4 linked regions of the Pelodiscus sinensis genome follow. The protein of the gene in region 1 purifies or fractionates together with the protein of each later gene. This does not show direct contact. Links are inferred from orthologs where the notes say so. Each region holds a gene or a part of one and is shown in the gene's direction. Other genes may lie near its edges.

What was found.
Region 2: the proteins of CCP110 (region 1) and CEP76 purify together in Homo sapiens (co-immunoprecipitation; 4 studies listed by BioGRID and IntAct, with this or other methods). This does not show direct contact. The link is inferred for Pelodiscus sinensis from reciprocal best matches to the Homo sapiens genes CCP110 and CEP76.
Region 3: the proteins of CCP110 (region 1) and CEP290 purify together in Homo sapiens (co-immunoprecipitation; 6 studies listed by BioGRID and IntAct, with this or other methods). This does not show direct contact. The link is inferred for Pelodiscus sinensis from reciprocal best matches to the Homo sapiens genes CCP110 and CEP290.
Region 4: the proteins of CCP110 (region 1) and CCNF purify together in Homo sapiens (affinity purification with western blotting; 7 studies listed by BioGRID and IntAct, with this or other methods). This does not show direct contact. The link is inferred for Pelodiscus sinensis from reciprocal best matches to the Homo sapiens genes CCP110 and CCNF.

Annotation. Positions count from the first base shown.
Region 1 is NC_134726.1:21,043,764-21,050,598, forward strand, and holds the start of CCP110 (centriolar coiled-coil protein of 110 kDa), read left to right. Parts: upstream 1-3,814; 5' UTR 3,815-3,915; intron 3,916-3,942; exon of another isoform or gene 3,943-4,667; intron 4,668-6,835. Other genes in the region: GDE1 (glycerophosphodiester phosphodiesterase 1), read right to left, coding at 1,432-1,665.
Region 2 is NC_134712.1:87,531,169-87,538,017, reverse strand, and holds the start of CEP76 (centrosomal protein of 76 kDa), read left to right. Parts: upstream 1-3,828; 5' UTR 3,829-3,894; coding exon 3,895-3,957; intron 3,958-6,849. Other genes in the region: PSMG2 (proteasome assembly chaperone 2), read right to left, coding at 2,056-2,227, 3,447-3,506. UniProt on the Homo sapiens protein: Centrosomal protein involved in regulation of centriole duplication. Required to limit centriole duplication to once per cell cycle by preventing centriole reduplication.
Region 3 is NC_134711.1:76,742,987-76,750,641, reverse strand, and holds the start of CEP290 (centrosomal protein of 290 kDa), read left to right. Parts: upstream 1-4,644; 5' UTR 4,645-4,798; intron 4,799-4,820; exon of another isoform or gene 4,821-5,050; intron 5,051-7,655. UniProt on the Homo sapiens protein: Involved in early and late steps in cilia formation. Its association with CCP110 is required for inhibition of primary cilia formation by CCP110.
Region 4 is NC_134726.1:1,950,697-1,957,941, forward strand, and holds the start of CCNF (cyclin-F), read left to right. Parts: upstream 1-4,232; 5' UTR 4,233-4,374; coding exon 4,375-4,387; intron 4,388-7,067; exon of another isoform or gene 7,068-7,245. UniProt on the Homo sapiens protein: Substrate recognition component of a SCF (SKP1-CUL1-F-box protein) E3 ubiquitin-protein ligase complex which mediates the ubiquitination and subsequent proteasomal degradation of target proteins.

The DNA of each region.
Region 1 (6,835 bases):
CCAGCCCCATTGTGCTGCCAACTGGGAATGGCCCACTCACTCAGAGCCTACATCATGAACCCTCTGCCCCAGGTCAGAATCTTTTCAAGCACCCAAACTCCCTCCCAGAGCCTACCCCACATTCCAATCCCTGCCCAGCCCTGAGCCCCCCTCCTCACCCAAACTCCCTTCTACAACCCAAACCCTGAACCCTCTCCTGAACCAAAACCCCCCATCCCTCAGTCCCAGAGCAGAGCCGCCTCATGCATCCCAAATCCCTCAGCACCACCCCAAAGGCTGGACCTCAACCCATGCCATGTTTCTGGCTCCATCCCAGAGCCCGCAGCTCCAACTGGGGCCCTCCTGGCATCCAAACCCCTTACCCCAGCCCAGTGAAAGTGAATGAGGGTGGGGGAAAGCAAGAGAAGGGGTCTCAGTGAAGGGGGTGTGGCAAGGTTGTTTGGTTTTGTACAATTAGAAAATTGGCAAGTAACCCTTGGCTCAGTAAGGAGAGAGTGTGCTAGGAAGGGAGGCTGTCCCAGAGGGTTCCTGGGAACAGCAAGCAGAGTGTGGGGTAAATCAGGCTCAGTTGGGATTGCCAAGTGTCCAGTTTTCGACTGGAACACCCAGTCAGAAGGGGACTGACACGGCTGTAGTCAGCATTGTTGATCCAGCTGTTAAAAGTCCAGTCAGTAGCACAGCAGGGCTAAGGCACCTGCCCTGACTCCGCATAGCTCCTGGAAGCATTTCCCTCTGGCTCCTACATGCCCTCTGCCTCCAGCTCCACCTGCACAGCTCCCACTACTGACCTGTAACCACAGCCAATGGGAGCGGCAGGGGCAGCCCCTGTGGGCACCAGCAGCGCACCCAGCCAGCTGGAGCCCTCCTACATCCCAACCCCCTGCGGCAGCCCAGGGAAAGCCAGCGCGGGAGGGGGGAGCAAGGGAGGGGCCTTAGGGAAAGGGGCGTGGCAAAGCGGTTTGGTTTTGTACAATTAGAAAATAATCCTAGGCTCAGCAAGGAGAACGCGTGGGAGGGGAGGGGCTGTCCCAGAGGGTCCCTGCGGAAGGGCAGCTTGGAGGGCGGACTCAAGAGGGACTGTCCCGGAGGGCAGGGCAGCCCAAAGGAGAAGTTCGAGGGGGGAGGGGCTGACCCAGAGGGTCCCTGCGGAAGGGCAGTCGGGAAAGGGAGGACTCGGGAGGGACTGTGCGGGGGGAGAGGCTCGGGGGGGGCTGTCCCAGAGGGTCCCTGGGGAAGGGCAGCGGGAGAGTCCCAGAGGGTCCCGGGGGAAGGGCAGCCGGGAAAGGGAGGACTCGGGAGGGACTGTCCGGGGGGAGAGGCTCGGGGGGGGGGGGGCTGTCCCAGAGGGTCCCGGGGGAAGGGCAGCGGGAGAGTCCCAGAGGGTCCCGGGGGAAATGTGTGTGTGTGGGGGGGGGTCCCCCGGTGGCTGACCTGTCTGATGGCCGCCAGTGTGTTCTCGGGCGCGTCGTGCCCGCCGCCGCGGTGGGCGATGCGGGCGGCGGTGCCGCGGGGCTGCAGGATGTGCTGGGCTCGCTGCAGGGAGACGGGCTCCAGGCTGAAGAGCCGCAGCGCCAAGTAGAGGCCGGCGGTGAGCAGGCAGGAGAGCGCCGGGCTGCGGCTCAGCACCAGCAGCGCCCCCAGCAGGGTCGTGAAGGTGCCCAACATGGCAGCCAGCTGGGGGAGAGGGCCGGGGAGCCCCCCCCCCTCCACTAGTTGCTAGGCCGAGCCAGAGCCTTTGCACCGTGATCACACAATGATCCTCACTTAGACCCACCGGCCAATCAGAAGCCGGCAATCGATTTCCAACGACCAGTGAGCCGCCACCGAATCTCTGCCACCAGCCAGTCAACATCGATCACTGGCAATCGCCAGCCAATCACCATCCAGCGCTCGCCGCACCTCTATCCGTCAGCCAATCCTCAAGTACCGCTTGACAGGATCTGGGGCGCAACGTGGCTCGGTGTAGTGGCTTGTCTCGACGCTCCAGCAGCACTGGCAGAGCCTGAGTCTGTTCAGTAGTAATAGAGATGTAGCCCTGTGAGTCTGGTCTTGCTGAAACAAAAGACAGGACTATGCAGCACTTTAAAGACTAACAAGATGGTTTATTAAGTGATGGTTTATTTCGTGGGTCTGACCCACGAAAGCTCATCACATAATAAACCATCTTGTTAGTCTTTAAAGTGATGCATAGTCCTGTCTTTTGAGTCTGCTCTGACTCCTGGAAGTGTCTAGAAGGGGACGTTCAAAGGTGCAACGGCAACTGGGGATCTTGCAGCTAATTCCTGATGTTCAATAGACCATGAATCGAGCACGCAAAAAGAAAACACTGTCCTAGTGTTAAAATCACAGCTTCAAACGCACTTAAGAGTTGTTTTGGTCTTCTGTTTCCTACACATATAAGGGGCCACCCTGTTCTTGTTATCAAGCTTTCCTCGAAAACAGATTATTGTACAATCATTTGGCTGAGCAGTAGCAATGCTTAGTTATGCCTTTGAAAATCTTCCCTTTGTTGCCATAAAGTATCCAGAGAACTATGATAAAATTCTGTTTAATTATGTCTGTCTGGTATTCTTAGAATTTGGCCACCAATTCAGTGTATTGTAGGCTAATTGTATTGTGGCTTGTACTATTTGAACTTTGTAACTTTGGTCACAGTGCCTATAATAATTCTGCATTTGGCAGCCTGGATGATGCAGGTATTTTGCAATGATGTTGCAGATAGTGGTACAGTTTTTCTCAGATTATAACTGATTTTGTGCTAAATTTTCATCTTTTTTTCTCCTGCATCAACAGACAATGGTAATATCACAGGAATTCTAAGTAATAAGTAGTGCGAAAGGTGCTTAGTTCAAGTAATGCCTGCCTCACTGAACCCACAATGTAATAAGAGTAGTTTTGGTCATAAGTCTGGCTGGCTGTATCCTGAGAAAACCAGTCCAACATATATAGGTCTGAAATAATTTATAATGATTAAGTGAGTCAGAAAAGTATTTTAAAATCTTTTGACAAGTTCTGTGTTATTTTAAGATAACAAAAGGCAGGCTCATAAGATTTAAATTGATAATTGGTGTAAAGATCATGCTACTGATGATAACTATTAGCCTGACTTTAATGCCTACCCCCCAAACTAAGTGTTTCTACAACTTTAAGATGACATAGCCTGAGCTTAGTGCGGTAGCGGTGTCTTCTTCCAACCTGCCACAATGCCTACTTGATGAACACTTTAGTAGCTGGTGTACCCAAGGCTGCTGAAGAGACAGGAGTGATGAATTCTTGAGAAAGTCTGAAAGCTTGAGTCTGATGACTCGTGTAAAAGAATAAAGCTGGAGTGTGAGTGATGCCTCTGTCCTAGGGCTGCATTGACATATTACAGTCCATCAAACTATCATCACCTCTGAAATGTGGTGTGGTGACACCTCTCCTAGAAGGTTATGGTGATGCAGTGTAAAGATGGTACTGATTTCAGGGTCCTTGAAATGATATTAGGACGGGTGCATATATTCCACTGAAAATCAGCACAGGTGCTGGAACAATGTGTACAGTCGGAGTGCTGAGAATCACTGACCCAAACTGCAAACCCCATGTATGATGAAAACTACATCAAGTGAAGGCGTGTGGTAGCACCTATGAATTGGGATGATTCTGGGAATATTAGCATGGGAAGCAAAACTCCCTACACCCGATATAAAATCGAAGTCATCTTCACATTCAATTGAGAAGTGCAGTACAGTGCACCCCGGCTCAAACTACAGAACCTTGCGCACAATGCTCCCTATTGAGGCAAGCTGCTTAGGGCTCAATAGGACTACCATTCCCAGCATGCAACCCTCAAATGGCGAGAGGAAGTGGTCGCGGAGAAGCACTGCATGCTGGGATTTGTAGTATCTCCGTCCCGCCCTTGGGCCGAACGGCTCGGTGAGTCGCCTGCAGCCGGAAGCTCTGAGGGGGTAGTGGGAAGGCTGGCGCTGGGGAGAGGGGCGGGGTGCGGCGGGATTTGCGGTTGCCAGGAGCCCGCTGCTGCCTGGCGGGGAGCGCTGCAGCGCGCTCTGTGCAGGGAACCTGGGTGCGCTGGGCCCGCCAGCAACGGATCCGCCACCGTGGGGGCCCGTAGCAGGTACCGGGGTCTGCCCCGGCCGCGGAGCGGAGTGTGCGCGCGCGCCGGGGCCTGCGGCTGATTCCGCGTCTCCTCCCCCCGCCTGGACCTGAGGGGCCGCCACCTCCGTAGGCGGGAACCCTCCAGAACTCCCTCTGCCTCACCGGCGTGTGGGGGGGGGGGAAGCCGCCGGCGTCTGACTTTCTCCCCATCCCCCCCTCCAAACCCCCCCCCCCCCGCCCGCTGCCCCTCGGTGTCAGCTGTGAGGTGTTCGGCGCTGGATAAAACGGGGCCCAGTCCCAAGAGGCGGCTGTAGCGGAGCCCAGGCTCCGGGGGAAGGTTTGAGTTGAGGGTGGGAGGAGCTGAGTGCTGTTCTTTTGGGGGGCGGGGAAGGCAGCTGCTTTCTGGGGCGGGGGGTTAGAGCAGGTGGACCAACCAGAATGAGGGGTTTGAATGAAGAGAGGGTGGGGGCTGCGTAGAAATCAGGAGACTGAAGCTTCAGGGAGGGGCTTCTTGGACGAAGGCAGTAACAAGAACGAGACAACCCAAAGGAGAGAGAGGACTAACATGTCTTGTGAGTTTCTTGCGTGGCTGTGAATTTTTAATTTGGACGGGGGCTGCCATATCAACATTGGTGGTGGTGGTTTGTGGTTGAACCAGTTTTATCATTTGTAGGGAATTTCCAGTTTCCATCCAGTTTGCAAGAGAGCCTGAAATTGAACATAGGCATTTGGGTTCTGCAAGGAGAGCTGATCTGGTAGAAGAGAGAGGTGATAGACAGCTGGCCCCCAATAACTTCTTGACCCCTAACCATCCTGAAAGCAAATCAGCACACAAGACCGTCACCAGCTGAGATTTTTTGCTTGGCTCAGTAATTTTTAGTACAAGTAGAATGTTATGGAGACTCCAAAAACAATCAGATTCAGTGACTCAAATCTTAATTTCCTCCTGCACATGGTTTGGGGGCTTTTGCTGAAAAGCCCACATTCTTCAGATTGGGTTATTTTTATAGCAGTTCTTCCTATCACTTAGTGCAGAAGGGCAGTGAATTTATACTGTGGAAAAAAGCAATTCTGTAAAGATGGGGAATAAGCAGTTTTGCTATTAGTAGCAGAATTTTCTTATCTTTTCTTTTGTTCTGAGCTCAAATTGTTGAGCTGGGGGGTCTTAAGCAGAGCCCCACTGCCTTCAAGGTTAATAACTTACCAACCCAGGAATGTGTTTGCTAATTTTAGGTACATCATCAGTAATTTACAGTAATGTAACACTATTTCTGTCCACAACTTCCAAACTTTGGTGTGGCTTTTCCCTTCAGTCTCAGAATTGCACAAATTGTTGTACAGAAGATTAAGAATACACTTTGTGATTTGTATCTCCTCCTCCCCCCCAGTAAAGCTGTAATTCCAGCAGTGATAACATTATCATCAGGATGCTGGAGTAAATTGCACCTGTTGGTTATAATGCCATTTTAGAATTCTAGTAATCTGTGGGGATTTTTAATAACCATATTTAATATCTGTGAGAACACAAGTCAAATAAATGTACTCATGGGTTTGGAAGGAGGATTTTGTGTATTAGTGGAGAGATGGGATAAAAAGTAATTTTAAAAAGATCATCAAAGATGTATTGCCCCCATTCTTTATTTGTTTAACCTTGTGTTCAGTTAAACAAGGTATATAGACTTTTGCAAGTTTTAAATCTGCCATGGTGTTAAAAATTCTTCAGGAACTAATTTTCATGGGCTTAGGGTGTCTTCAGGTTTCACCAATGGAATAATTATATCAATTCCAAATGTAAATATCAGGGCATGTAATTAAGTGCCCTTCTGTCCTCACTAGTGCTTCTCAGTCACCTGTAGTGAAAATGATTGTTACAGGTGTTTGATTAACTACAGCACCTGCAAATATGTCTTTGCCTTCTATTGTTAACTTAAGTGACTTATTTATAACAGTGCATTCTGTACTGTAAATCTTTATCATGGTACATCATAATTGAAGGGAACCATATATTCTTGTGATGAAATCATTATGATTTATATTGAGCTGCCTGTTTCTTTACTCACTCGAAAAAGCATTCAATGGAGGGTGATTTTTTTTGTAAAACAATACTACTGCATTCATCTTGCACTCATTGAAGGTGAAAACAATACAGGCAGTCCCCAAGTTATGTACAAGATAGGGACTGTAGGTTTGTTCTTAAGTTGAATTTGTATGTAAGTCGGAACTGGTACATATTGTAGGGGAAACTCTAGCCAAACATTTCTCCAGAGCTCAGTTTTATTCTCCCGCACCTCACTTCCCTCAGTCCTTTATTCTCAAGCTGAGGTGTCTGCTGAGAAAAGCCACTCTGCGTCTCCCTGGTCTGCTGAGGGGGGGAGGGGGGCGGCGGGCGCTAGCTTCGCGTCTCCCTGGTCTGCTGGGGGGAAGCAGCTAGTGCGGGGTTGTCTCACCCCGTTTGTAAGTAGGGATCTGATGTAAGTCGGATCCATGTAACCCGGGGACTGCTTGTATAAATCTTGTTAATTTTCTAAATTATTAGTTTTTAAAAACTTCAGGGTAGTTGATGCAAACTATCATCTTATAGCAAAGATAGTTTGAGCCAAACCATATTTACAATGTTAATTTGTTTTCCCACATTACTTGAGAGAGAATCTCTTTTCTGACCCTTCACCCTCACCAAGTAACAACAGCACTGCCTCCCACATATTTTAGGCACTAGTCTTTTTTTTTATATTGCACTGCT
Region 2 (6,849 bases), on another chromosome or scaffold:
GGGGAAGTGACAGTACTGCTACCCTTACCTGTGGCTGAACTGTGACTGCTGGGATCCAAGATCTGAAGGCAGAGCCACCACCAGCAGCACTGCAGAAGCAGGGATGGCATGGCCACCCATATTTCTGTGCTGTTGCCTAAAAAGTTGAGCCCTCAGTCAGCAGCTACCACACTCTGGCCACCTGCTCTGAAGGCAGCAGCACTGAAGTAAGGGTGGTAAAATATGGTATTGCCACCCTTACTTTTGCACTGCGGCTGGTAGGGTGCTATCTTTAGAGCTGGATGCCTGGCCAACAGCTATTGGTCTCTAGCTGCTGCCCAGCTCTGAAGACAGCACAAAAGTAAGAAATCTATTAGAGTTCTTACTAATCTTAATCTTAACTAAGATTAATTTTACTAATCTATTAGAGTTCTTTGAAGGAGTTAACAAAACATGCGGACAAGGGGGATCCAGTAGATATAGTATACTTGGATTTTCAGAAAGCCTTTGACAAGATCCCTCACCAAAGGCTCTTGGGTAAATTATATGGCCATGGGATAAGAGGGAAGGTCCTTTCTTGGATTGAGAACTGGTTAAAAGACAGGAAACAAAGGGTAGGAATAAATGGTAAATTTTCAGATTGGAGAGGGGTAACTAGTGGTGTACCCCAAGGGTCAGTCCTGGGACCAATCCTTTTCAAATTATTCATAAATGATCTGGAGAAAGGGGTAAGCAGTGAGGTAGTAAAGTTTGCAGATGATACCAAACTGTTTAGGATAGTCAAGACAGAAGCAGACTGTGAGGGACTCCAAGAAGATCTCACCAAACTGAGTGATTGGGTAACAAAATGGCAAATGAAATTTAATGTGGATAAGTGTAAAGTAATGCACATCGGGAAAAATAACCCCAACTGTACGTACAGTATGATGGGGGCTAATTTGGCTACGGCAAATCAGGAAAGAGATCTTAGAGTTATCGTGGACAGTTCCCTGAAAACTTCCACACAGAGTGCAGCGGTGGTCAAAAAGGCAAATAGGATGCTAGGAATTATTAGGAAAGGGATAGAAAATAAGACCCAGAATATCTTACTGCCCCTGTATAAAACTATGGTACGCCCACATCTTGAATACTGTGTACAGATGTGGTCTCCTCACCTCAAAAAAGATATTTTGGCCTTAGAAAGGGTTCAAAAAAGGGCAACTAAAATGATTAGGGGTTTGGAACAGGTCCCATATGAGGAGAGGCTAAAGAGACTGGGACTTTTCAGTTTAGAAAAGAGGAGACTGAGGGGGGATATGATAGAGGTCTATAAAATCATGAGTGGTGTGGAGACGGCTGATAAAGAAAAGTTATTTATTAGTTCCCATAATAGAAGAACTAGAGGACACCAAATGAAATTAAAGGGTAGCAAGTTTAAAACTAATAAAAGAAAGTTCTTCTTCACACAGCGTGTAGTCAACCTGTGGAACTCCTTGCCAGAGGAGGCTGTGAAGGCTAGGACTATAATAGAGTTTAAAGAGAAGCTAGATAATTTCATGGAGGTTAGGTCCATAAAAGGCTATTAGCCAGGGGATAAAATGGTGTCTTTGGCCTCAGTTTGTCAGAGGCTGGAGAGGGATGGCAGGAGACAAATCGCTTGATCATTGTCTTCGGTCCACCCTCTCTGGGGCACCTGGTGCTGGCCACTGTCGGTAGACAGGATACTGGGCTAGATGGACCTTTGGTCTGACCCAGTACGGCCGTTCTTATGTTATGTTAAGAACAGCAAGATTGCTGCATCCTTAAAATGACCTTGTAGCCCTGACAGACGATTCCCTTTTGAGTCAGGGCCCCAACGTGAGATGTGTTCTCCCCTGTGAAATCTATATAATATCGGGGGGGAGGGGGGGGAGCACACACAAAACCAGATTTCACTGTCAATGATGTATTTCATGGCCATTAAATTGGTGGCACCATGCAGATGGGTTTACTTCCACCATCCCCTATAGACTCCATTCTTACTGGGAGGTCTCTGTATAAAGCTCATTGTAGGATTGGGGCACACTTCAATATTTGAGACATAACTTTGGAACACACCTTCAGCATTTATACTCAACTCTGTTGAGTTTACTTCTGTTGTTGCATATGGATTATTCCCAACCATTGGCACCAGGCAATCAGTGTAGAAGTAACCAACTTTAGGCATGTCAAAGGTAGAAATAAGTAGATCTACTGCAAGCTGGCCAACATTCCCAACGGATACAGCTGGCTGGAACAACAGAAGACTTGTGACCATATTGTTATTACAGTTTTTATACATTCAACTGTGATTTGAATAATGAACTATGTATAATATTCAAATTAATAAATGAAAACTCCACAAAATATCTGTAGGTATATGCTCAAATCACAATCCTCTTACCCAATATTTTAAAAGTGGGGTCAGAAAACCTAAAACTTCCCTTTATGGAAGGTACTGGCTTTTTAACAGATTGTTCCTGTACTAACAGACCAGCACTGAATAATAAGATGTGCACTATTGAAAAAAAAAATCAACATACAGCCTCTACTACCCATAAAGATTAGGCTTAAGATAGCAAACTATGAACATTTAGTTGTGTAATGGGAAAACAATAGTTTTTGTTAGATTAGTTGAAAACTTAATCAAGGAGACTGCACCAAACTCAGCTACCACTGTCTTTGACCTGGGTGCGCTCAAGGATGGGCATTTGAACTAGGGATGTCAACTAGCAATTAATTTACTAGTCAAGTAGTCGATGAATTCTCCATTGACTACTCAACTTGGCACTTCAGCATTCCGCCTTTGAAAAAGTTGGACCACCGCATGGAGCCCAGGGCCAGCGGGAAGTTTCACTGACTCTGGGCTCCAAGCAGGCACTTCCCGCTGGGGACTCTTGTACATTTCAAAGTTGGTGGAGCCCAGGGTCAACTTCCCAAGTGATGCTGGGCTCAGTATGGTGCTGCCGCTTTGTGATACCACCACAGCCTTTCAAAGTGACAGTGCCACAGGGTCCATGCGGCTCCACTGCTTCAAACTACCCCTCTCTTCTCCCCCTGTTGTTGCCTCTATCTGATAGAGGTAGCAAGGGGGTGGGGGGAGCAACTAGTTGGATTTGCTTACCGGATAGTCGACTAGTCGTTCACATCCCTAGTTTGAATGTGCTGCCTCTACCACCAGCTTCCCAACATCCACACAGCGCTTGCCGTTACTCGCATCCCCTCTTGCGGGGGCGGGTTAGACAAGCGACCCCCCCCCCCAGGTCCAGGCTACGACAAAGCCCCGGCAAGTAACAGCAGCGGAGACACGTTTCTATTTCCCAGCTCGGGGAGGGGGAGGGGGGGCTGGTTCTCTGCCCCCCGCCGCTCACCCACCCAGCGCTTCCGCAGGGACGCGCATCCCGCCCCGCTGCGCCCTCAGGCCCCGACGGGGGCGACGGTTCCCCCCCCAGGGCCGCGCGCGGCGTTACCAGCAGGAGCGTGAAGCCTTCAAAGCTGGCGGGCGCGGAGCCACCGCAGGGCACAAACATCGCGCCGGGAGCGTTCAGCGCTGGGTGCGCGCGACTCGCCTCCGCCAGGGTCCTTCCGCTCTGCGGCGCATTTGCCTGACGCCTAAGCGGGGGCTGATGTGTGAGGGGGGAGTTAGGCGTCCTCTGTAACCGCCTGTCCCCGTAGGGCTCCTCGGCAGGACGTCCTCTGATGCGTAACTGGAGCCCCTGACAGGGGGGGCGGCCGGCCCGTTTCTCGGCCCCGGGCTGGAGGAGGGTCCGGGCTTCCAATCAGGCGTCTGAGCAGGGCGCCCTCGCGCTCTGGCGGGACGCTTGTTCGAAAAGCGGTTGGGGCGGAGCGCGCGGTTGCGGAGCGCAGTGGGCGGGGCTGGGGGGAGGGGGCACCGGCTCTGGGTGTTGGGGGTTCGCCATGGCGCTGCCTCCGGAGAAAGCTTCGGAGCTGAAGCAGATCATCCGCCAGCAGCTGGCCAGGGTGAGGGGCAGGAAGTGCGCGCGCCGGCTCGGCCGGGGCTTTACCCTGCGCGCGGAGGGCTCGTGCCGGCTTCACTGTGGGGGGCGGGCTGGTGTCTGCTCGCGCCGCTCGTGTGAGAAGCAGCGGGGCTGAGGCGCTCGGACCGACGTTATAGTGCCCCCCCCCTCCCCCCCCCCAGCCTGCAGGCACAATGGGGGCAGCTGCGTCCCGGGGCTCGTATCCCCGCAGCTCGGGCGTTCTCTGCCTTTTCCCTGTCGGCGCGAGTTACCCGCCAAGGGTCCCGCCACTTCTCCCACCCGCCCCATCAGTTGTATGTGCCCCGAGGCAAGTGCGGCTGCGCACCACCGCTCGCCACACATCCCGCTGGCTGAGGGGGGCTCTGCTAACCAGCTGGCCGGCCTTTGAATCTTTACAGCGCACACACTTGTCCAGGCAGTGCTGGCTGCTGCCTGTGGGGAAGACAGAGGGTTGGATTTTTCATTATCTCTACCTTTGAGTCTTTGATTGGGACATCGCAAGCCATCCATGACTTGTGCCAATGAGTGCTGGCAGCTTTTCCATTGGCCTGTGTGATAGTCCTGTGGAAACCTTGGCTCTCAGTGCGGAGAGAGGGAGTGAACTGAGGTGGTGTAACCCTTCTGTAGGTAGCACTTGGCAGTCAGAAGGGCCAGTTCAGTATCTAGGGAGTTCTTTCAACAATGTACCCACACTGGCTCAAGCCAGTAAACCTACCCACTGGGTGCCTTTAAAGGTAATTCTTCTCTCTCAAGCACTGGGTCGGAGACAGAAACAGTCTATTTAATGACAGCAATGTAACATTAATCCACAGAAACACACACAAACAAAACCCAGAAGCAAGATACGGTCCCGAGATCTTTAATCTACCCTCCAACTCATATAGTGTGCTTTCCCCCCACTTCAAACACCCTGCTCATGGCTCTGTCCAGTCAATGCAGACCCAGAGCTTATAGGTACATCATCATGTTGTCTCCCCTCCTTGAGGATGTGGCAATGCCGCTCACTTCCTGCTCCTGCCAGCCGCTCCACCAGTTACCTGCTGGCCGCTCCCTCCAACAGCCTTGTGGTAGATTTGGCTTTGGGCCAAACCTTTGTGATTTCAGCTGCTCAGTGATTTTAACGCTTGGCCAAAAGCACAGTCTAGCCAAAAAATTCCAGCATCCGCTGGAATACATTTTAAAATCAAAAAGAGACTCTTTATGGACTCTGCAAAAGCGACGAGGAGTCCTGTGGCACCTTATAGACTAACTGAAGTGTAGGAGCATAAGCTTTCGTGGGCAAAGACCCACTTCGTCAGATGCATGCATCTGACGAAGTGGGTCTTTGCCCACGAAAGCTTATGCTCCTACACTTCAGTTAGTCTATAAGGTGCCACAGGACTCCTCGTCGCTTTTGCAGATTCAGACTAACACGGCTACCCCTCTGATACTTGACTTTATGGACTCTGTTCTACTTCTTACATTAGACCGGATTTGGGGAGGAGGGGGACAAAACAGGTTGAACCAGTCTTACAGCTCACGCCTGGAGTGCATGCAGCCTGCTGATTCAGAGTTCTGCCCTCCTCCCAGTTGACTTTCCAGAGTTTTGGCAGAGAAAGCCTTATTCTTTACACTGATAGTCTCTCTCCTTTAAACTGAGTGAAACACAGTATGACTTTTCTGCATTCCCCCAATAACTGCAAGCATTGGTGGTCATATCTTACAATTCCTGCATTTAGGGTCAACAGAGTTTGTGGCTCCACAACAATGGGCAAAACACCATTCTAACTGTTGAATATCTAGTAGGTCTAAGCAAACTGAGCGAACTATTTTTACCTAACCACACCCAGGATTTCTTTCCCATTCCAGCTGGCTGTAATGGAAGCATTGATTCAAACCCTGCCTACAGGGGATTAGTCCAGAGTGGCCAAGAAATTGTACTCCTGGCCACAAGCAGTATCTAGCATAACCTGACCGTGGCTGGAACTATGCCTACCAAAATTGAGAGACCCACATATTGGTTGGGGTTGATTTCAGAGAATCACCAACAAGGCTGAGCATGATGTTGAGTTCAGTGCCTACCCACTGAAGCTTTGCACCAGACTGGCACATTTTTGCTGATGCCAAGACAAGAGCATATAGTGATGTTCGAAGCATGCATTCATCACATCTCCACAATGTGCTAATGAGCTTCTGGATGATGTTAACCTTCTTCTTTATCTTCTTTGTGATATTATCAAGATGTTGGCAATAGTTCAGCATCCAGTTGAGTTTAATGCCATGGGTTGTAGTCATGTAGTATAGGCAGATCTCAAAAGTCCACTTTCAGTGGCATTTGGTTTCTTGTGTGTTCATGTGGAAGGCAGAGACAAGTGTTGTCAAAGCGTTCGGTTTCAGTCACCAAGTTTTGACATGTCTCGCATATTTGGAGGTGATTGTTCAATATTGTTTGCAAGGATGAATTTATGGGATGATGTGACCAGATTCTCACTAGGGATGTTAAATATCAGTCAATAAGGGGGTCGGAGCGATCCTGCAGTGGGGTTGGCTCCCGGGGGCAGTGCTAGCCGGGACTGAACAGTCCCATCTCATGGTGCCACCGGGACCACTACAGCTCAGCCTTCCCTGCTTCCACCCCCGCACTGTGTAGATGGTGCTGAGGGGAACTGGCTTTTAAGCCGACTCCCCCCAGCACTGGCTCCTGCTTCCCCCCCTTGCTGCCTCTGATACAGAGACAGCAGAGGGAGACTAGTTAAGTAGTCACTCAACTACCTGATAAGCCTGTGCTTATCAGGTAGTCAGCTACGCAACTAGAAGCTTTCATCTCTAATTATCACTGGTATACAATAGGAATGTAAAATCCCATTTAATTAGTTAACAGGTTAAAAATGTTTAA
Region 3 (7,655 bases), on another chromosome or scaffold:
CCTTGTGTCCCACCAGCCCTGCCTGCTGCCCTATGTGCCCTCCACACATTAATTCCCTGTCCTTGCCTGTCATACTGGGCAATGGAACGCCCCACACCATGGGTCTATGAAATCAGCACTGGTAGTGCAGCAGGACAAGAGCAGCTTCCAGCTACTAGCTCTATGCCACTGCCAGCACATCCCTGCGGCCCACGGGAGTTGTGTGCAGAGCCATCCCACTCATAAAACAGTTCAGCACAGCCACAAAGGGCTCCATACTTTGGAAGCCCTGTGGTGGCTACCCCAACCGTCCTATGGATGGAATGGTCTCCCGCCATACTCAGGTTAGCTCGCAGAGCCTCAGTCAGGCTGGGACACGTAACAGGGGTCAGCAGAGCAACCACGAAGGCCTGGAAGATGGCGATGAAGTGAAACACAGTCTGCTGTGTCATTCCACTTCCACACAACTCCTGCTGCTGGGGTGGGGGTGCCCAGCCCCTGATGCCACCCTGCATCAAGCCCTATGGTAATTCACAAGGCCCCTGAGGGAGAAGGGGAGCAGAAGGGGGTAGCTGTCCCAAGGTTCCATGATTTAAAGGGGCCCAGGGCTCCCAGCTGCTGCAGCAGTGGCCAGAAGCCCCAGCCCTTTAAATCACTGCCTGAGAACTACGCTGCATGCAACATGGAGGGCTGCCTGCTCCTGGCCCTGCCCCTTTTAGCTGAGACCCCACACCTTGCTGTGCACATGGAGCTGACCTCCCTCCGCCTCCATAGCAGACCACAACACAGTTTGTTCATGGTGAACATCTGCAGGCACAGCCCCCTGCAGCTGCCATTGACCAGGAACAGTGAACCATGTCCATTGGGAGCTGGGCGGGGATGGGGGAAGAAGAGAAGTGCCTGAGACTGCTTAACAAACAAACCAAACTATCTCAAGGCCCGCCATCAGAGAACTCTGTTGGGCCACAATTGCCAACCACTGAGTTAAGCTGACAGGGGATTCTGACATCTCTATCATCAGAATGGATTTGCTCTTTTGTGGCTGGGATATCAACTATTCTCAGCCAACACTGCATTGTGAGTTTGACTCATAGATTATCCTTGACATTGGTGAAACAGCCATTGCAGGAGAGCTAGCAAAGAGTCTAAGTATTTGCAATGTGAAAATATTACACCACACTGACATTCTGAACCCCTTGTGACACCCGGTACCACATATACTCCACTTTTACAAGACTAATATATTTCTTATGTATTATTTGAAAATTCATAACCTACTGAAAATCATTATCCTGTTAAATTGTGTATAACATGTGTAAAGCTTTGGGATGTTAAAAAGCAGTTAGTTAGGTTACATGCTGTGGGCTCTTCAGTATAAAGATTATACAGCAGAGCCTGCAGCGCAATTGCTCTGGGTAGAAGTTGTCCCACCCCTCCAGCCAAACCGGGCATGCTCCAAGTGCTGGGGCAGTATAAAAGGGAGATGCTCAGCTGCCTGGGCTGGATGCCAGAGAAGAAGGATCTGCTGCAGGAGTTCCAGAAGTAATCCAGCCAGAGACCTGGACAATGGGAGCTGGACACTGCATTGAGCCTCCAGAGCTGGTGGTGCCTTAGGGAGAGACTGGTGCTGTGAAGCCTAAAACCCACACGGTTCATACCATGCCGGTACAGACGCAGCAGTGCAGTGGAGGAGAGTTTACCAGTGTGGGATAACCATGCACATGTTCACATCCTTAGTATCTACACAGTCACAGTTCCACCAGTTTAATTATGCTTATTAGTTTTAACTTTAGCACTTAATTTTACTATCCCACAATTCCTTGTATTAGGATACATATAGAACAGACCCTCTCATTTTACTTCTCTTTACCATTTATTTTGTATACTTGAATCCTATCTCTTCTTGTTCATCTCCTTTCTGAGGAAGTTAATTAGAGCCTTCCCAATCTCTCATGAGTTTTTCCATCCTTCTGCCAGTTTCTTTGCCTGTCTCAAAATCCTCCCTAAATCTATAATATTAATTTTAAAACAGGCCGACTGGTTCTGGTACTGCACATAGTTTACTAAATGATACCACATGTATATTTTTATAATCGGATATTTGCTGTAGGATTCTCCATTCTGTTCTTTATACATCATCTTTGCCTTCGACCACAGCTGCACGCTACACCTTCAATAAGTTTTCCATCTCCTAAGTTGATAGTTAACTCAGAATTTTGTATGGTATATGAACAGCTCAATTTTTCTTTCCAACAATACAGTATTTTGCGTTTACGTACATTGTCGTCACAACCAATATAAGTGACTGGGCATTAAATCAGTGTGAAGTTTAGTACAGTCTCCTCTGGTTTTCTATATATTCCCGCCTGCTCCTTGCTGCTGAGTAAGGCTTGGCAGCTAGTCTTTAATAAGACTTAAAAATTAGATCTACTGTACATAGCTTTATCCCCCCAGGTTTATGAAAAATGTCGGACCCTTTGCAATGTAGTTATATTGACTCAAAAAATGTAGACGTCTTAACCAGATGTCCATCCCACCTCCCTGAGAGATAGTTTAACTCCACTGATAGACTGATCTTTCCCTTGATATAAAAAACATCTACTCTGCAGAACTATAATGGCACAGCTGCTCTTAGCACGGACATGGCCTAAGTACGGCTTTTATTTAACTTTGGATTGGTTACTGCAGCGCCATGCCCAGAAAAGAGAGCAAAAGCGAGCTCTGAAGAAGCTATATTAAGCCAGGTATACGCTATACCTGGGAGCTCAGCTTAGGGTACAGCAACTTAAGTCAAGTTTGGCAGTATCCCCATGGCTTCCCTTACTCCTCACAAGAGGAGTACCAGATGCCACCGGGGGCATCCTCTGAGTTGGATTTAGCAAGTCTAGTTCAGGAAAGCCTATGGGAATCTAGTTTTAACTAGACTTTCTAAATTGAAGTCCAGATGATCAATTGCAGCAGTGGCAATCTTCCATGGGGTGAAGACAAGCCATTAGAATGTGAGCACCTCTTGGAGGAGAGCAGTTAGAATTAGAGACAGATATGCACATTAGGAAAGACTACAGGCAGCCCCCGACTTGTGACACGATCGGTTTCTGGGGGAAGCATTGCAAGTCAGGGGCATCATAACTCGAACCCATGTTTACAATAGGCACCATCATAAATGCGGGCCGAGGACATAAGTCGGGGGTTATTAGCCCCTTCCGTATTAAAAAATGGTTGTAAGTGAGGGGGGTTGGAACTTGGGCTGTTGTAAGGCAGGTGTTGCCCATAATTGCCAAAAACACGTATGCAACAACATCTATGTCCAAGAAAGAATACATAGCAGGAATTGTAACGAGAGAAACCCAGCTCAGCTTTGAGCGCTGTGTGCTCCTGGGTTTGTTGCTGAATAGTCCTCATATTTCCCTATAGGCTGTGTTTAGGCTGCAGGCTTCTTTTGGAAGAAGCTTTTCCACAAGAGAGCTTCCAGAAAAACTTCTGCAAGACAGCATCCACACTGCAAAAGCCTATCGAAAAAGCCATGTGCATTATATCTTTCATTTCAGCTGTGATTACTATGGATGGAGTGGCCACCAAGGCTCCTGTGCTTTTTCCTCTTCCTTCTTCCAAAAGAATTCCCTCTTCCCCGTCCACACACACACACGTGTCACTTCCCGAAAGAGCTCTTTAGGAAAAAGTCTTCTTCCTCGTGGAATGACAATTACCAATGTTGGAAAACCCCCGCTGTTCTTTTGATTTTCTTTCACAAGAACGCAATTGCAATGTGGATGTAATTGGAGTTTTTTTCGGAAAAATGGCCATTTTCCCGAAAAACTCTGTAGTGTAGACATCCCCATAGCTTCTTTGTATGGAGAACGGGGAGACCTGCCGGACAAGGCTCTGTACAACACAAGCAGCTGGTCCCTGCCCCAAGAAGCCCCCTGTCGCCACATGCCAGCTAAAAGTGACCAGTAGCACTTCAGTGCTGCCACTCCCGGGGCGCCGAGCTGCGTAGGGGGCCGGAGCCGAGGGCAACCCCCTGCTCTGCAAGTGGGGAACAGCCCCGTCCCCGAAGGCGGCGAGGGGCGAACAGCTGAGGCGGGCCCGGAACGAAGGGCCCGCACCCAAGGGCCTCGCAGCCCAGGCTGAGGCAAGACTCGAGAGCAGGGGCAGCTCTGGAGACGGCAGCCCCGCCCGGCTGCCCATGCCGAGAGACGGGAGGGGCAGCCGCTACCGGGCGGGTGAGCTCCAGCAACACCCCCCTCTCCTCCGGCCGGGCCCCCTCTGCCGCTACCCGCCCTCGCAGCGCTCCCCTACCTGGCGCTGTGCGGGTAACACGCTCTCCCTGCCGCCAATGAACATCACTCGCTCCACAGCCACCGCGCTACACGGAGACTACAAGGGACGCTCCCTTGTGTACTACGCAAGCGCGAAAACCACTACTTTCCCGAAGGCTGCCGGGAGCTGCCCCTCCACACTACAGGTCCCAGCGTGCCGGCTGGTATAAGGTTGCCTAGTGTACTGGGACCTGTAGTTCCCCGCGCGGACGCGCGGCATGCCGGGAAATGTAGTCTTCGCAAGACTTAGGCGTGGCAGATTCCCCCTTCTTCCACCGCGGCCTCTTTTGCGCCATTGAAAAACGTCCTCGCTCTTCGTGGCGCGGTGCGTGCCGGGAGTGGCAGTCTCTGCCGGGTGCGCTGTGCACGCTGGGGCTTGTAGGCCCCCGCCAGTTTTGATTCATCTGCGTGTATCCGGGTCCCCCGCGGCGCCGGCTGAGCGGTGTTTGATGGCGTCGCCTAGCAGCGGCCGTGGCCTCCAGTAGCTTAAACGGAGACGGGTGAGGGCAGGAGGGCGCGGCGCTGGGGGAGGGGGATGAGCTGTAGGGCAGGAACCCCGCTGGGGAGATAGCGGCGCCTCCCGCCCAGGTCCCGTTGTCCGCTGATTCGCCAGGGAGCCGCGCCTCCCCTTGGCGGGCCCTGCGTGGCTGAGGAGCCTGGCTGCGGCCACGCACCGTGGGAGGATCTCGGCCGGCGCGGGGCTTGTGCCACTCCAGGCTGGCGTGTTCCCAGGGCCGGTGTAGGCGCGAGAGGCAAGTGGGGCGCGCGCCAAGCTTTTAAATACGTCCCTGGCCAATAGAAGGGCTGTTGGGAGGGTGGGGGCTCTAGTTGTGATGGGGTCATGCTGCCAGGGTCCTACCATCTGCCCTCAGCCTGAGCAAGCCTGTCCCAGCTCCCTGTATCTCTGGGCAGCAGGTAGCTCAGGGCTACTCGACTTTGGAAGCCCCGAGGGCCACAATGATACTCACAGCACATGCTGAGGGCCGCAACTTAAGTGTGGTTGCATATGCATGCAAATATATGTGCATATAGCTTCTTTCACACTGACGGGTATGAATACAAAGTCTAAGGCAACACCCAGGCCCCATTTAAGTCAGTTCTGCTGATATTAATAAATGCACTAATGTGATACTGGCTCTTTGTAGAAAGCTCACATACCACCTTTTGGTAAAATATTATGCATATCTCTGATCCAGGAGATCAGTGTAAAAGTCTCTGTATCCCGAGTCCTCTATGAGTTGGCACCCGGAGGTTCATAAGTCTCAGATTGAATTCACTTATCCATCCTCTCTTCACATAATGTTTTGCCTATAACATCTTGTATTTAATATCATCCAAGTAATTTTGGATTGAACTACAGCTCAATCATGTTCTGATTTCATACAGATACAAGGTAATGCAGTTTACCACTCTGGCTGGGTGAGATGAAAAGATGTCAGAGTTCCGTATGATCACCACAATGATGGTCTTACAATATTTCCTCACATATCTCACTGATTCTATACATACTTTACAATGAAGAAGAGGGGTAACTAAGTAGAGACCTTCATGATATGACTTTTAGAGACGAGGAGCCATTTGATAACCATCAGCCATCTAAAATCAGCCTCATCTACTATCATGTGGGTCCGCAAACAAATTGGTCAATAACTCCTCATGATCACTAGTATCCAAAGCTGCACGTAGAGCTAATATCAGTATGGACTCCTGAGCTTCATCTTTGGCTATAATGAGATCATTTGCAGTGGCAAGAGAGAAAGTCAAATGGTACTTAAGACCCTTAGGCAGAGCCCCCACCACCAAGTACAAACTCTTGTCCCCACCCCCTCATTTCCACTGGGTTTTGGCATCCCTTCTCTCTGCTTTGTGAATATTGTTCAGTTGAGGATAGAGCCCTCAACTGGGATATGCCAAGCACAGTTCTGCTTCTCCACCCCAACAGTAACAACATTATATTAGCTCTGCATGTCATAAAGTAACTTGCAATCCAACACCTCCTCCAAAAGAGATCATTTAGGCAAAACAGCTCCATCATGTTGGGCATCTGGGCTAAATGAATATGTCTGTGCAAGCAAGGTGCGTTATTATAGTCTTCTTTCCAAACTCATTCAGACCTTGTTTAAACAATCAAAGTTGGTATCCTAAAATATAATAGCCTATAGGTTTGCGTAACTTTCCCAAGTCATTAACTAATTAGAAACCAGGAAGGATACAAAAGGTGTGGAGGAATAGTAAAGGACTGGTTGAATTCTAGAGTGGGACTGTTAACAAATGATTCTCTGTTTACATTCTTGGATGTGCCAGTCCCGTGTAAGGGACGGTAAAGCCCTCAAACATTTGTCTACGGACAAAGATCGGTAGGGACGGTAAAGCCCTCAAACATTTGTCTACGGACAAAGATCAGTAGTTCTATTTCAGAACTAGTTGTTCACATTTCATGGCCTGTGTTTTTATGATGCCAATAGCCTGTCTGCATAATTTGCAGTCTCAGCCTTTTGTTCTTTGTGGTCTGCTACTCTGACACATCATCTTCTGCTTAGAATATTTTTTCTCTTGAGCTCTTTTCTCCTAATGAACTGGACAGAACTAGTATTTGAAAAGATCCTTGAATTTTTTTCTGCATGGCATACTGCAGCTGCCTCCCCCTGTCATTCAGGAAAAGTAAGAGATAAAAAATATATGGATACTGTATGTGTAATGTCATCCTTGGTAAATGATTATATGGAACATAAAAAGGGGCAAAACTGGGCTGAGGTAATTCAGAACAAGTTGTGCCAGTTCCCAGAAATGTGTGAGATTCCCATAGCCTTAGGTATAGGGAGGATGAGGGCTTAGAAGTAGGGATGTAAGAAAGTGGTTGACTAACCAATAAAACCTAGGCTTATCAGTTAGTCACGTTGACTATTCGCATTTCCCCACCCCTCTCGCTGCCTCTGTATCAGAGTATGCAAAATGGGAGGGGAAACAGGAGCCATTGCTGTTGGGAGCTTGCTTAAAAGCTAGTTCCCCCTCAGCATCGTCTCCGCGGTGCCACTTACCTGGGAGGCAGCAGCATGAAGCAAGCGTAGGTCCTGGACTTGGTGCGAGCCGGGACTGAGTGCTTCTTACCTTATTAATTGTGTAGTGATAAAAATCCTATTGACTACACGATGAGTAAATTACCCACTTCTAAGACATTAAAAAAAAAAAAAAAAAAAAAAAGAGGATTTTCAAATAGACTGAGCCCCAGTGAAGATGCTGGATATCTGAAAGAGAGCTTGTCATTTACAAAATATCTGTCCCAATTCCGTATGCCAGCTAGCATCAATGGAGTGAATACACTTTTTTTTAAAATTACTCAACATTGTTGCCATCCAT
Region 4 (7,245 bases), about 19 Mb from region 1:
TGGGAGGACAACAAGGAGCACCTACTCCTGACTTAAAGAGGCAGGTCTGACCATAAAACCCTCCAAGTGTAAGATAGGGGCAGCCAAGGTCCCTTATCTAGGACATTGGGGGGGGGGCGAAGAAATGTCACCTGACCCAATTAAGGTGGAAGCCATCGTTAACTGGCTAGTACCTCAGAGTAAGAAACGGATCCAATTCTTCATAGGCATGGTGAATTATTACAGGCAGTTTGTGGGCGGGTTCAGCGACATCATAGCCCCCATCACGGACCTGTGCAAGAAGCATCAACCTACTAAGGTGGTTTGGTCAGAGGCCTGCCAGAAGGGCTTTGATGAGGTGAAAGTGCTCCTGTCAGCAAAGCCTGTACTAGCCAGCCCTGATTTTGATAAGACATTTGAATTGTGCACTGATGCATCTGACAGTGGCTTGGGGGCAGTGCTTATGCAGACAGGGAAGGATAACAAGAAGCACCCTGTTGCCTTTCTAAGTAAAAGCTGTCCCCTACTGAACAAAACTACTCCGTCATAGAAGAAGAGTGTCACGCCATAGTGTGGGCGGTCAAACAGTTGAGACCCTACCTCTTCAACAGGAGATTTAGAATTTTTACAGACCATTCACCACTGATATGGCTGAACAGAACCAGGAGCACAACCTCGAAACTGCTGCGTTGGAGTCTGATTCTACAGGAGTTTGACATGGAGATCGTGCACATAAAAGGCAAGGAAAACACGGTGGCAGACGCCCTGTCCAGGAAAGGGGATGTAGGAGACACTACCTCTGCACTGAACACTGTCCAACCCTCCAGCAGTAGTTTCATGGGAAGGTGTGACGGATTCCCCCATGCTTTATGAAATGGACTCATGGACACGAATATATATAACTCAAAAGTGGTGTGAGCAAATTATTTCATGCAACCCATCGATCTTCATGTCAAGATCTGCTGGTTCTGTTTATCTTACTCTGTTGTATGTATCATTTGTGTGTGTAAAATTAGACACAGGGAGTGAGGAATAATTTGTGAATTTCCAATGTGTGAATGGGAGACATGGAGGGTGTTACCTGCAACTTCTAGATGAGCCACTGTTAAACACTCTTTTGTCCTTAAGTCTGAGCAGTGGTTGGTAGGGAGTGGCATCAATTCCTTAACAAAAGGGACAGGAAAGTAGAGGACTGGGTCTTTTGGCTGGGCTGTACCTGGAGGAAGGATCCTGAGACCCCAGGGTGGGGAAGACAGCCCTGGTTTAGAGTGGCAGGTGGAAAAGTTTGCACTGAGGTTTCAGTGGAGAATTAGCCAAGCTGTTTTGTTTCTTTTGATTTGTAACCTACTTTGCTCTGCCTCCTCTCTCTTATTACTACTTAAATCCTACTGCTTCAACTTAATAAAACCATTTTTATTTTCTATCAAACCGAGTGTAAGCGACTGTTACCTGGGGGGGGCAACCAGTGTGCACATCCCCCCTTTCATTGCTAAAGGGGGCTTACCTAATTCTTTGGGGTTTGATCCCATCTGGGGAGTGCTCTCTGAGGAGGCTGGGCCCTAAACTGCACTCTCCTTGGATCTGAAGTGGTTCAGTGTCTGTACTGCTTTTCCATAGGGGCAGGGAGCTCAGCTCAGGGCCTTGGCTAGGGGAGACCAGAGGAACTGGCCCAGCAGGACTGGGCAGTGAGGAGCCCCAGAGAGCAGGAAGGCGAGTGGCAGTGGCCGTGTCAGCACCCCGGGAGGCACCCCCGAGGGGTCGTCTGTGACGGCACCCCGTCACAAGGTTACTTTCTGTAGTTTCTTCATGATGTGTGGCCCCTAACTGGATTCTAAATATGAGTGTGCATGGCACCAGGTGCCAGAACTGTTCATAGGAGAGACCGTTGGCCCGCACATGCATTGTGCACCAGCTGTATGGTGCATGTGAAGCTTTAGGAGGCAACATAGGTTGATGCTGCGCCAGTTCCCCTCTTATGAGTTAGTAGAGGAGTTGGTGGCTAAGGGGAAGGAGGTCAGGATTAGAATTCAGAGAAGGATCACATATCTCAATCTCCAGTTACAGCATGCAGCCTCCTCTTCAGAGGTACCAGTTAGATAGTGTGGAGGGGCTCTAACCCTCCCCTCCTCCCAAGTATGAACCCCTGAATTTCAAACTTGACGTCTGCTTAAAGTGCATGCCCTGACCCCCGACAAAGCTCTTAACTGAAGCAGAGCTTGTGCTGCTCCCAGTTTTGCCTTGAGGGGTAGGGAGTTTATTTATAAATAGAGGGAGTCAGAGTAATTAAGATAACAAAAGGCTTGTCATTACATTAATTGAAGGATCACTAGATGATCATGAAAACATTTTCAGGCACTCCACTTAAAAGATAGGAAACAAAGGGTAGGAATAAATCGTGAGGATGGAGGGAATTAACTAGGTAACCCGTTCCAGTGCTTCTTCACCCTCTAGGGAAACTTTTTCCTAATATCCAACCTAGACCTCCCCCACTGTAACTTGAGACCACACTGCTCCTCGTTCTGCTATCCACCACCACTGAGAACAGCCTCTCTCTATCCTCTTTGGAACCCCCCTTTAGGAAGTTGAAGGCTGCTGTCAAATCCCCCCTCACTCTTCTCTTCTGCAGACTAAACAAACCTAAATCCCTCCACCTCTCCTCCTAGGCCTCCTAATCGTTTTGGTCACCCTCTGCTGGATTCTCCAATGCATCCACATCCTTTCTATAGTGTGGGCCCAGAACTGGACACAATACTCCAGATGCGGCCTCACCAGAGCCAAATAAAGGGGAATAATGACATCTCTGGATCTGCTGGCAATGCTCCTCTTAATGCAACCTAATATGCCATTAGCCTTCTTGGCTACAAGGGTGCCCTGTTGACTCATATCCAGCTCCTCATCCACTGTAACCCCCAGGTCCTTTTCTGCTGAACTATTACTTAGCCATTCAGTCCCCAGCCTGTAACAATGTTTGAGATTCTTCCTCCATCCCAACTGCAGGACTCTGCACTTGTCCTTGTTCAACCTCATGAGATTTCTTTTGGCCCAATCCTCTAACCTGTTCAGGTCACTCTGTACCCTATCCCTGCCCTCCAACATATCTACCTCTCCCCCCAGCTCAGTGTCATCTGCGAACTTGCTGAGGGTGCAATCCATCCCCTCAGCCAGGTCATTCATAAAGATGTTGAACAAAACCGGTCCTAGAACAGATCCTCAGGGCACCCGGCTAGTGTTAACTGGTTAAACTGGGGGCTGCTCCTGCCCGCACTGGTTAACGCTTTGCATCCCTGCCAGCACAGCTGTGACCTGCTTGGTGCAGGAGCGTAGGGTCATGCGGGGCATGGGTGGAGGGTTGAGACTCCTAGCCTGAAAGACTGACAGGGAATGCGGGAGTCCCGGCCCACAGGGGTCTGGAGACGCGGGGGGGGGGGGGGGAGGAAGGGGCGGGAGACCCCGGGAGTGGGGGAGGCGCGGGAGACCCCGGCGGGCTGAGGCGGGAGGCCCCGGGAGGGGGAGGGGCGGGAGGCCCCGGCGGGCTGAGGCGGGAGGCTCCGGGGGGGGAGGGGCGGGAGACCCCGGGAGTGGGGGAAGGGCGGGAGACCCCGGCGGGCTGAGGCGGGAGGCCCCGGGGGGGAGGGGCGGGAGACCCCGGCGGGCTGAGGCGGGAGGCCCCGGGGGGGAGGGGCGGGAGGCCCCGGCGGGCTGAGGCGGGAGGCCCCGGGGGGGGAGGGGCGCGGGAGACCCCGGGAGTGGGGGAAGGGCGGGAGACCCCGGCGGGCTGAGGCGGGAGGCCCCGGGAGGGGGAGGGGCGGGAGACCCCGGCGGGCTGAGGCGGGAGGCCCCGGGAGTGGGGGAGGGGCGGGAGACTCCGGCGGGCTGAGGCGGGAGGCCCCGGGAGGGGGAGGGGCGGGAGACCCCGGCGGGCTGAGGGGGGAGGGGCGGGAGACTCCCTGCCTGGCACTAGGCGCCGCCTCCCCACGCCGGCCGGCGAGGTAGAAGTTCCGGTGTCCCTGAGCACGTGCCCACTCCCAGCGAGCCCTTCGCGCCAACTGCCCCAATTCGAATCCGCATCCTGAGCGCCCAATGACGGGGCGGGGAGCGGGCGCGAGGTCCCGCCCTGTCCGCAGGCCGGCCAATGACAGCGCCAATTGAGTTTGAAAAAAAGTGCGCGCGGCTGGTGGGCGGAGCCTCCCGTGGAGTCCGGAGTCCGACGCGCTCGGGGCGTGGCGCAGCCTGAGGGGGTGGATCCTCGCGCTCTCCGCGACGCGCGCTGGGCTGGGGGCGTGGCCGTGGAGCTGGGGCCCGCCCCTCGTGCCCGGCGCCGGGCTCATTCCGAGCGGGCTGGCGGCGGGCGCGGCTCGGCTCCCTGGGGACGCGCAGCGCGAGCCCGGCGGCAGCATGAAAGCGGGCGGTGAGCGTCCCCGCGCCCGGCGGGCTGGGCTCTCTGGGGGCCACCCTGCGGGGGGGTCCTGCAGGGATGGGGGGGGCCACTGCGCGGGGGGGGTCCTGCAGGGATGGGGGGGGGCCACTGCGCGGGGGGGGGTCCTGCAGGGATTGGGGGGGCCACCGTGCGGGGGGGTCCTGCAGGGATTGGGGGGCCACCGTGCGGGGGGGGTCCTGCAGGGATTGGGGGGCCACCGTGCGGGGGGGGGTCCTGCAGGGATTGGGGGGCCACCGTGCAGGGGGGGGGTCCTGCAGGGATTGGGGGGCCACCGTGCGGGGGGGGTCCTGCAGGGATTGGGGGGCCACCGTGCGGGGGGGGGTCCTGCAGGGATGGGGGGCCACCGTGCGGGGGGGGTCCTGCAGGGATGGGGGGGCCACCGTGCGGGGGGGTCCTGCAGGGATCGGGGGGGCCACCGTGCGGGGGGGTCCTGCAGGGATCGGGGGGGCCACCGTGCGGGGGGGGGGTCCTGCAGGGATTGGGGGGGGCCACCGTGCGGGGGGGGTCCTGCAGGGATTGGGGGGGCCACCGTGCGGGGGGGGGCCAGCAGGGATTGGGGGGGTCACCGTGCGGGGGGGGTCCTGCAGGGATTGGGGGGGGTCACCGTGCGGGGGGCTCCAGCAGGGAGTGGGTTGCCAGCCCGTGGTTAGGGGGCTCTTGCCCTGGCAAACTCCAGATGCCTCATGTGGGGCTGGGGGGGGGGGGGGGGTTAAGCCCAGCAGGGTGGATGCTCTGCTGTCTGTTTTCTGGGGTGTCCTTGGGATGGGTGCTGCATGTTTCTCTGAGCCTCGGACCCTGCATTCTCAGATTTGAGACATGAGGGCTAAGTAGTGTCTGAAATACCCTTCCCAGCATCTGATGGGCTAATCCCCTCACCTCCATGTCCCCAGATGGTCTCTGGCACCTCCTTATTGTCCTTTTTACTTCTCCCCTGTGCTCATAAAAGAGTGTGTTTTAGATTTTATTTTTAAATTCCAAAGAGAGGGAGCCCCACTGGTTTAGGCGGGTGGATTTAAAAATCAACCGAGCCTATAGTGGGACAGGACGCTGCCTGCAGGGGGAGGGGACTCACTCATGGTTCCTGCATGGGCACCCAGGACTTGAGAAAAGAGCTGCTAGTCTTATCTTGGTCACTTTGGGTTTCTCATCAACCCAGAGAGTTTCACAAGATAACCTTACTTTATAATTTATGAAATGAAGGTGTGGCTGCAAGATTTGCAGGGAACAGATGAGATTTTGCTTCAAAAGACAGGGTGTTTGAATGAAATGTAAATTACTGAAATATACACATTGCAAAATTCCCCATCAACAGCAGAGACTTGAATAAAAATACTTTAAAAGTTTAATTCAGAATTAGAGGGATTTTTGACATTTCAGGCTGGTCACAAGATTGAAAGTCAGACTCAAGTATTGCAGTTCCCTGTTTTTTTCAATATAAGTCTCATTTTATCTTTGCCATGATAACATCTACAATTGAAATATGACCTCTAAGCAACCCTCCATTCTCTCATGTCCAAAGATAATTCAAATTTAATATAATAATATACAAACTGCAATATTAATTCCTAATTTAATATGGCTGCCTCTGGCTGAGGGAAGCAGCTAATTGGCACACTTATGGAGGGAAAAAGGAGAATGTATGACCAAAAGCCTAGGAGCAAGCTCCCCTAATTTTACACAAGTGCTAAGGATTCCTATGTCCAGAGCAGACAAAACTTGCTTTTTTATCATCTGAGCATAGTGAACTGCTTGCAGATCATCTAATGAATTACTTTTTTGCCAAAAACTATAAATGGGTTTACCAAGTAGATTTTGTTGCAGGCAGATTTATTTTAAGAGGAAAGGGTTTTTTATTACACTTTCTGCATTAATTGGACAGAAATATTAGAATACTTCACCCAAGTTGAATGTTTTCTGATTCTTGCTATGGGGTACATAACACTAGAAGATCTGCTTCTTAAATACACTATCTTTGCTTGCTAAATGTATTTTGGAATGCTTTTGTTGTTTAGTCAGTACCTGAATTTAAAATATTAGAAATGCAGCTTGTATACACAATGTAGATATGTTAATAGTGTATGAGGCCATTTTAAAGTTAACTCACTGTAATATAACTTCTGGGCTACTAGAGCTATATTGTCCACCATCTAGTCTTGCTTGATTCAATTTCCTGGACTGTGGGTCAGTTTCAGTTCTGAATACAGGCTTAATTGGCATGCCAGTCTAGAGATGAATTCCTTCTTACATTGCAGTAGTTCTCTTGCTGAAATTGGGGGGAGGGGGGGAGATACCTATGAGAATAATTTAGTGATTTGTGCATATCAGAATTGCCCTTTAAATTACATTAATATAGCCTTTTATTACCAGGAGGAGAATGGATGTTTAGTTAGAATAGTTATCCTGGAAACTCCAAAGTATTAATAGGATACATACTCAGTTTGTTAGTCTGGGGTAGCTGAAGCAAAATGCAGGACAATGTAGCACTTTAAAGACTAACAAAGACGGTTTATTAGATGATGAGCTTTCGTGGGCCAGACCCATTTCCTCAGATCAAAAATCTGATCTGAGGAAGTGGGTCTGGCCCACGAAAGCTCATCATCTAATAAACCATCTTGTTAGTCTTTAAAGTGCTACATTGTCCTGCATTTTACTCAGTTTGGATATTTTAGGTGGCCCGTTGCTTTTTCCCCCCCTAGGCAGATACCTATTCATTTGCATTAGGAAATACCCAGGTCTAGGGACTGTATTACTCAGTCTTACGGAGTGTCTCTCTACCTGGAGAAATGTTGCTAGCCCTTGCTAGATAGAGGGGTACTTCTGGTGACCAT